2 linked regions of the Oryza sativa Japonica Group genome follow. The main gene of each other region encodes a partner of the protein of the gene in region 2 in a complex. Links are inferred from orthologs where the notes say so. Each region holds a gene or a part of one and is shown on either strand. Other genes may lie near its edges.

Region 1 (3,672 bases), on a different chromosome or scaffold from region 2:
CTCCATTGAGTCTCTCCTCAATCCTTCTTCTGAGGTTCCCATCATTGCCACCAACATGAACAGAGTCAAAATCTACTTGCATCCTTGATATGATACCATCAACAATGTCCATCAAGCTTGGCGCCGTGCGTATTGCTCCCTGCGGTGGACGGAGGACATGCTCAGCTTCGCCCTCGCACACATTGTACCAATAATTCCCTGGCTCCACGTCCCCAAATTTCCTAACGATCAGGGGATCCCTCGACTTGGAGAACTTGGTGGGCGCAACCCTGCTGTCCTCGATGATGCGGACTCCAAGCTGACCCTGTGCTCCCCACTTGTCCCAATCCTCCCAGAACCGCTTGTGTTCAACGATCCCGACCACGGATTGCAGGTGCTCAATGTCAATATAGAAGGCGAGGCGCTTGCCCTCCTCGGGCATGCCCCCGGCGTAGGCGGCGGCGAGACAGACGCTGAGATCGAGGACGAGGGTGCGGTTGAGGTAGCGGGCCTCGGCGATGGAGCAGAGGAGACTACGAAGATAATGCGGCATGGGCTTGCACCGGTCGCCGCCGCCAAGGTAAGAGAGGTACTTGCCCGCGGCGAACTGGGAGCGCGAGAGCGCGGGTGGGGGCGGCGGGGCGGTGGCGTTGGTCCCGCCGCGGCGGGGCTTGCGGGCGAGGGGGCCGGAGTGGTATTCCCCGATGGAGGTAACGGAGTAGGCGCAGGTGACGGGGTCGCGGGCGACGGAGAAGCGGCGGTAGTCCTTGTAGTTGGCGGAGGCGGTGGATCGGGCGCGCCAGGCCATGTCGCAGGAGGACGACGGCGGGTCGCCGGGGACGGGGCGGCCGAAGCGGTTGAAGTGGACGTCGGGGAAGGCGTCGATGGCGCGGCGCATCATGAGGTGGAAGAGCTGCGGGTCGGCGCAGTCGAGCGTGGAGGTGGTGTCGCAGCTGGCCTGATCCTGCTGCTCCAGGTGGGACGTGGTGGGCGTCAAGGCGGCGGTGGGAGGGGAGAGGGAGATGGGGAGGTTGCGGAGGGTGAGGAAGAGGAAGGCGACGAGCAAGAGGGCGGCGGCGGCGTGGGCGGAGGAGGTGATGAGGGCGCCCCGCCCCAGCAACGGCCGGCTCGGGTCCATCCGGCGACGGCGACGGCCGACGGCGATGAGATCTGGTGGCTGATTGTGTAATAAAGCCCCGTCTGCAGGCGGCGGACGGTGGTGAACTTGTTTCTAGGAAGACGACGAACTGTTCCTCTTAATGGGCCTAACATGAGTGGGCCTAAGACGAAGGCCCATGATTTGGCCCAAGAATCGCATCTCGTCGTGGATAAGACGATAAAGCAACATTGTGTGGGGATAGCCATAGCCCTGCACCGCACCTCGACTCCCCAAACATGGCGCTCGCCCTCGTCTCGCCAATGGCGGCTCTCTCACTCCACTCCGGGAGGATCTCAGCGGCGGCTATCGGCGGCGGCCTCCGCTCTCGCAGGGCATCCCCGATGGGCGCCGCCGCCACCCCGTTCCTCCGGAGCTCCTTCGTCTCCTCCTCCTCCACGTCATCCGCCTCCGCCTCCCCCGCCGCGCTCTCTGCCGCGGTCTCGGCGTCGCTGACCTTCACCTCTGCCTCCTCATTTGCTGGTGAGAATGTGTACTTTACTCGTTCCTGATTCGCTTCGTTCTGTTGCTACCATTTGGGTTGGGGAACTAGATGGAGGAGAGAGTTGCCTGCAAAGAGAAAGGGAGGAATGAACTTTTGTGCTGCTGGTTTCGGCTTTAAGTACTGTACAATGGAGTGTTTATACTGTCAGATAGGTAGCGTGTACAGTTAATCAGTGCTTAATGTCAGAAGATAACTAAACTAAACTAGCGATTTTAATGCAATTGATATATTTGAAAGTTCTGATGGTATTCTGGCAATTTCCTGAGAAATCTTAAATTCAAACTCTGCCGTACTTGTTAGCTGCTGTACGCAGCTTGTTATAATCTGCAATGTCTGATCCTAAAGCCCACGCATTCTTATAGTTAACCATGTGCTAGAGAATTTTGCTTAAGATGTGGATTCCGATTAAGATTAAAAAAAATCACTTGTTTACACATCCAGTTTTTTAGTGTAAGAACGTGTATATATATTCATAATTCAGTGATTAGTTCTAGATGGTTCCATGTTAGGAAACCTACACGGCTGAAAGTTTCTTTTCTTCCTCCATGTACTGTGATACTGATATTGTGATTTCCAGTAGTGCCAGATGGACTGTAGATTGTAGTACATTCTTGCGACAGAATCATGAAAACATCACAAAAACTCAGGAAACTCCACTTTTTGGAGCGAGCGCATGAGCTTAATTTAGTAAACTCATTATGAAATATATCATCTAACATAATTATACTACGAACTAACGAAATCACTGAATCAAGAACGTTTAACTGGACAACTCAACTTTTTAAACAGTTCAGTTACAATTAATAGCCTTGCCACCTAAAGCAAAACCAAAATGCTCCTAAAACAAGCCAATAACGTTAGATTAAAGGAACTATTGCAATGATATTATCCTTTTGGAAAATGAACTGTACTTTACATACTAGAGTTTTTTTCCAAATGATCTTAGAGAACAAAAACACAAACTAAGGGCAATCAAATAGCCGGTTTCTGTGCTGTACTGTTGTATTTAGCAAATCCATGTTCTTATGTATCAAACCATATTTGTTCCAACCTACAAATGATTTCAGTATCCTAATATGTTACATATTTCAGGTTCATCTTTGGGAATTGAATTCAGCTACAACAGAGTTACAACAGGAAGATCCCGGATTCTGCAGATTAGGGCTGGAAAGGCTGCTCTGTGCATGACCAAGAGAAATAGATCTAGGAAGTCGCTTGCCCGTACACATGGTTTTCGCAGACGGATGAGGACTACTGCCGGAAGAAAGGTCCTGAAGCGCAGACGCGCCAAAGGAAGAAGGGTTCTCTGCACAAAGACGAACTCCCCCACTGGGAAGAAACGAATGTTCTGATTGAATCGCATTCTAAGTCGCTCTTTGTCACAATTGTAAGTGTATTTTTTTATCCCACGTTCTCGGTTATACTCAACCATAACAATTGGTGCAAATCCTTCACCCGGTGTCCGGTTAATGTGTGAAGTACATTATCAACACAAATTCAAGTTAGCCTTTTTGCTTGTGCAGTATTTAGTAGTTGTTTGCTGTGGGAATATGTTCTCCTTGATCTGCATTGCCATGGTTTTCCTCTGATCTATCTTGACTGCATTCTGAGCATAGATTTTGCCAAAGGGCCTAAATGCTAACTTGAGCAGTTGCTCAAATAAACTCATCAATTTTTCTATTCTGTAGTAGAACGTCCCTTTTATTTTCTGATACAGTCCAGTGAATTTTAATATTCAGATCATCTCATCATAGTCACTCCATGCTCCACTGTGTAACACAATTTATCCACCTCCTCTGTGCCAATCTCTTTGGTACACACTTATTTGTAAAACAACCTGATTGCCCATCCAATCCTCTGTCACCTTATAATTTTGCTACTATCAGGCGAAAAAATGGATAATATCCAGAACTCAACCTGGAATAAATGAAAGGCAACAAGTAGCAAAGAGAACATTTACATTCTAACAAACTGAATCCCTCCTCTTCTTCACTCGCATCGGCAAGCCGCCTTCCATCCTCAAGGTCACCGA
Region 2 (4,230 bases):
GCAAATTTCTTCAATCCATATCACTTCCATCATTTAGTGTCAGTTCTCTGTTCTCACACGCCGACGAGTTCATTCGTCCACCACGAAAGGAGCTCCTCTGACTTAAAGTTAGAAGGATATGAGTCCTTGACAGGTGCGGCCCACCTTTATAGGCCCACATGTTAGAGATGCATGTCCCTTTGACTTAAGTTAGAGGAGCCTTGTCGGTCCACCACACACCAACACTGGTAGGACAGACAACAATCCTCCACACCGCCTGCGAGAGGGTCCTCTTCCTGTCTTCCTGGCCATCAAGGAGGAGAGAATCAACTCCACATCTTCTCGGGTGACCTCTTTGATAGCTCCTTCGGCGAGGGATGGGTGGGCGGAAGTCAAGGAGGCTGTTCTTGAAGACGGAAAAGAGAAGTAGGGGCCGGCTCGACCTCGACCCGGTGTTGCGATGTCGTCGCGAGCATGCCGGTCTGTCTCCTCCGAGAGCTCCACTGTCTCCACTTCAAAAGCCATCAACGAGGAGGAGCCCAAGAGCGATGTGGAGGAGTATGAGGAAGAGGAGGAGGTGGACCAGTGGGTAGAAGTGTGCTATCTGGAATGGAGGTTGATGCGAAGGGGATCTGGAAGTGGGAGCCAGACTTTTGCTACTGTCCCCATCTTGGATGCTCGCGAGAATGTGTGGGAGTTGGTGGTGTGCGACACGACATTGTCCCTCTAGTTCACTTGCTTCTTCCCCAACACCTCCATCAACAACGTCACCCTCCGCATGCGTACTCATCTTCATCACTACCGCTTGAGCTCAAGTTTTGCCGCCACCACCGCAGCACCCCCTTCCCATCCCCGCGGCTCCTCACACTCCTGACACGACTGGGCTTTCCTGCAGATAGCTCATGAGCTCGAACTCGCCGGCTCCCTCACCTACCTCCTCTTCTCCCCCGTCGTGGACCACTGGAGCCACCTCATCACTGACCTCCCACCACCATTACCACCTCCCGTGGATGGGCTCGCTGGCCGCCGCCCCTCTCCCCACTGGAGGAGATGGGAAAGAGAGGGGGGAGGTGGAGAGATGGGGAAGAGAGGGGACAGGTTGGGAGGAAGTCCACTTTAAATTTTAATTTTCTGATTGGTATGCCACGTTAGTGAAACCAGTCATCCATAATACCATGAGACTGACTTGGAAGGTTTTTCCAAAATGGGGGGGAGGGGGTGAAGATTGCTGGTATTGCGGTTTAGAGATACCATTAAACTCGACGTAAAATAAGGGATAATAAGTGGACTTATCACTGTGAGTAATACTAGTAGTAATGAGAGTTGGGCTTGGGCCGCCCTTTTCTACAGTACTACGATATATGGGCCCCTGCTCACACAGTACATAGAGAGACGATTATGATAGGATAGGAGAAACAAGTTGTACGCCACGCCGCAGCCGCACAAGACTTGATCCTCTTCTTCTTCTTCTTCTTCCTCCAGGCTCCAGTGGCGATGGCGACCATGCTCTGCTCCTTCACGCCCGCCACCAGGGCTCCGCTCCTTCGCACTTCCTCCTCCTCTTCCTCTCTCGGCTTCGCCACCTCGCAACTCGCCGGCCTCAGCCTCGGCCTCTCCGCCGCAGCCACCACCGCGCCCTCCGCCGCCGGTCCCAAGCTCCACCCCATCCTCGCGCGTACGTCATCTGCCTCCTCCTTCTTCTCTCTGTTTCGAGCCATCCACCCGCAGATTGACATTACAGTTTTATATTACACCACCAATGTCATTTCTGCTACTATTAAAGTTGTTACTTTATCCTTCGTTTTTTTTTTGCGCTATCCAATACTCCACTGTATATATACTACTACTAGAACCAGATGACCTATTTGTTAGTAATTGATTGCTTTAATCTCTCGAAAATAGACTAGCTGTCAATCTATTACCATAAACTCAGATCTTTCTTTGTATTTTTAAGAGAATGGAAGCTTTATTGAATTTGGTCGTTCTTTGCACCATGTCAGTGCACAACCAATAGATACCACACAACAAGAAAAACAGAACTAACTCAACGATTAAGGACCTAATATCGGAAGACTAGGTTGCCGCTCATGTGCCTGGGTAAAAAAAAAAAACCTTGACCACATGCTCCAAATGAAGACAAGCCGAACAGACAAAACCCCTGTAATCTGGCTTCTTGAGAATAATCCATGATCGGAGCCAATGTGTGATCAAGAAAATAACCTGCAAAGAAGAAGAAACAATTTTCCTGTCAAAAATCACATCATTCCTTTATAGCCAAATAGCCCAACAAGTCAACTCCTAGTAGAAAAGGAGGCCTAGACTCTTTGTTTTGTCGCAAACTCCATTGTCCAGACATATGTGACACACTCCTAGGTGAAGAAATGTTCGATGCAATCTGGATTAAAGACCAAACTGATCGGGCTAGCCGACATTCAAAAAATAAATGCTTTATCGTTTCTTCCTTGTGGTAAAAACAATAGGTCTTATTCCCTTTTCAATTCCGTTTAGCCAGGTTATCTTTTGTTAACACCACCCCTCGACATAAATACGATAGAAACATTTTCACTTTGAGAGGGATTTTTAACTTCTAGATATGTTTGTTAAAATTGGGAACTCTTGTATGTGCAAGATAATGAGTTTTAACCAAGAATCTTCCATCAGGTGTTAGATTCAATTTAAAGTCATCTTTCTCGTGTGACAACACTATATTAGCAATGCGTGGAAAGAGATGATTCCACGCCACTAACTTAAGGCCAATAATATCCTTGCGCCAAGTGAAATTTAACAGGGTTGTTTAGAATATATTTGAAATGGTTGCTTGTTTATGTCTGACAACCATCTCTTTGTTTCTCTAAGACATAAGCAGAGCTTCTTCTTCTTACTAGTGTATATAAGAAAGAAGGGGGAAAAGAAAAAATATAACTATTCTGGCCATTTCAAGTTATAGTTTTAGTTTTATTCTAAGTCAACCATTCATAACTTTAACTATCAATTTCTTATTTAAAAAGATAATTGTGACTTATCAATTTCTAGAAATTTGTAAAGTTTAACAACATGTTAATTGTACTATATATTATGAAGGTACTTTTCATGATGCATATATAAACACATAAATATTATGATATTAAATGTTTGGCTTATGATAAAGTTAAGGACAAGTAATTTAAAAGGGTGAGATTATACTTTATCTTTTGTTTGCATGATGCCACAAATTATAGAAACTAGTAGTAGTAGGAACAAGATGGCGTGTATGGTGATGTTGTTGTATGATGTGGGGGTGGGTGACTCAGGCCGGATATGCCCCTTCACGGACAAGAAGACCAACAGGGCGAACAAGGTGTCCTTCTCAAACCACAAGACGAAGAAGCAGCAGTTTGTGAACCTGCAGTACAAGAAGCTGTGGTGGGAGGAAGGCAAGCGCTTCGTCAAGCTGCGTCTCTCCACCAAAGCCCTCAAGACCATCGAGAAGCATGGCCTCGACGCCGTCGCCAAAAAGGCCGGCATCGACCTCAACAAGAAATAAATCAAATCATCATCATCATGATGCATACATACATGTATTCTCTCATCAATTGCCGCTGTGCTGAATAGACCAGAGCTGTATGTAGTCCATTATTAAATCCATTCATCTCGATGATGCAATTTATTGTAGAGTACTACAGTATGCATTCATCGGTGGTGGTGGCCGGCTTCGTTTCCTTAAATTTCCTTTTATCCCGTGTTGCTGCTGCAAGTCCGGCTCGAATTGTTTGCTACTAGTGTTTCATTTCGGTCGAGTTCCTAATTAATACTGTATGTTGGTTACGAATTATAAGATGGATGGATGTAACTTGAGCAGCATCAGGTCGTGCAGTTGGCATCTTGCGCTTTTCACTTTAGAGTGTCTTCCAGTCTAAGCTGAAATTGATTAATTATTTTATTTCCTTTTTGGCTATTGATATTTAATAAGAGCCTAAATGAAAGAATTAACTTGTACAAAATTGAAAAGCTGTTTGTTTTGTACAAAAGGAACTCCTACGCCAATATTGATTGTTCTACTGCTATGGCCTGTCTGGTTTGAGATAGCTGAAATTGATGGATTGTTTTATTCCCCTTTTTAGCTATTGATATTTAATAAGAGCCTAAATGAATAATGAACCCCTACAAAATTAGAAGGTTGTTTTTTTTCTCTCTAAAAATGTAGAGACGAGAAAAAGGTGTTGAGTTGTAGACGTGGAGCAACCCGGCAGCTCCACACACGCGCAACCTCTG

What was found. Proteins that work in one complex are often made in the same cells at the same time.
Region 1: large ribosomal subunit protein bL28c (region 2) and large ribosomal subunit protein bL34c share a complex: the UniProt entries of both Arabidopsis thaliana proteins name them as parts of the 50S ribosomal subunit. The link is inferred for Oryza sativa Japonica Group from reciprocal best matches to the Arabidopsis thaliana genes PRPL28 and AT1G29070.

What each region holds. Positions count from the first base shown.
Region 1 is NC_089035.1:34,740,181-34,743,852, reverse strand, and holds large ribosomal subunit protein bL34c, read left to right. Parts: upstream 1-1,350; 5' UTR 1,351-1,374; coding exon 1,375-1,618; intron 1,619-2,731; exon of another isoform or gene 2,732-2,732; coding exon 2,733-2,992; 3' UTR 2,993-3,165; downstream 3,166-3,672. Other genes in the region: uncharacterized protein, read right to left, coding at 1-1,117. UniProt on the Arabidopsis thaliana protein: This protein binds directly to 23S ribosomal RNA.
Region 2 is NC_089039.1:104,682-108,911, reverse strand, and holds large ribosomal subunit protein bL28c, read left to right. Parts: upstream 1-1,430; 5' UTR 1,431-1,473; coding exon 1,474-1,654; intron 1,655-3,269; coding exon 3,270-3,502; 3' UTR 3,503-3,819; downstream 3,820-4,230.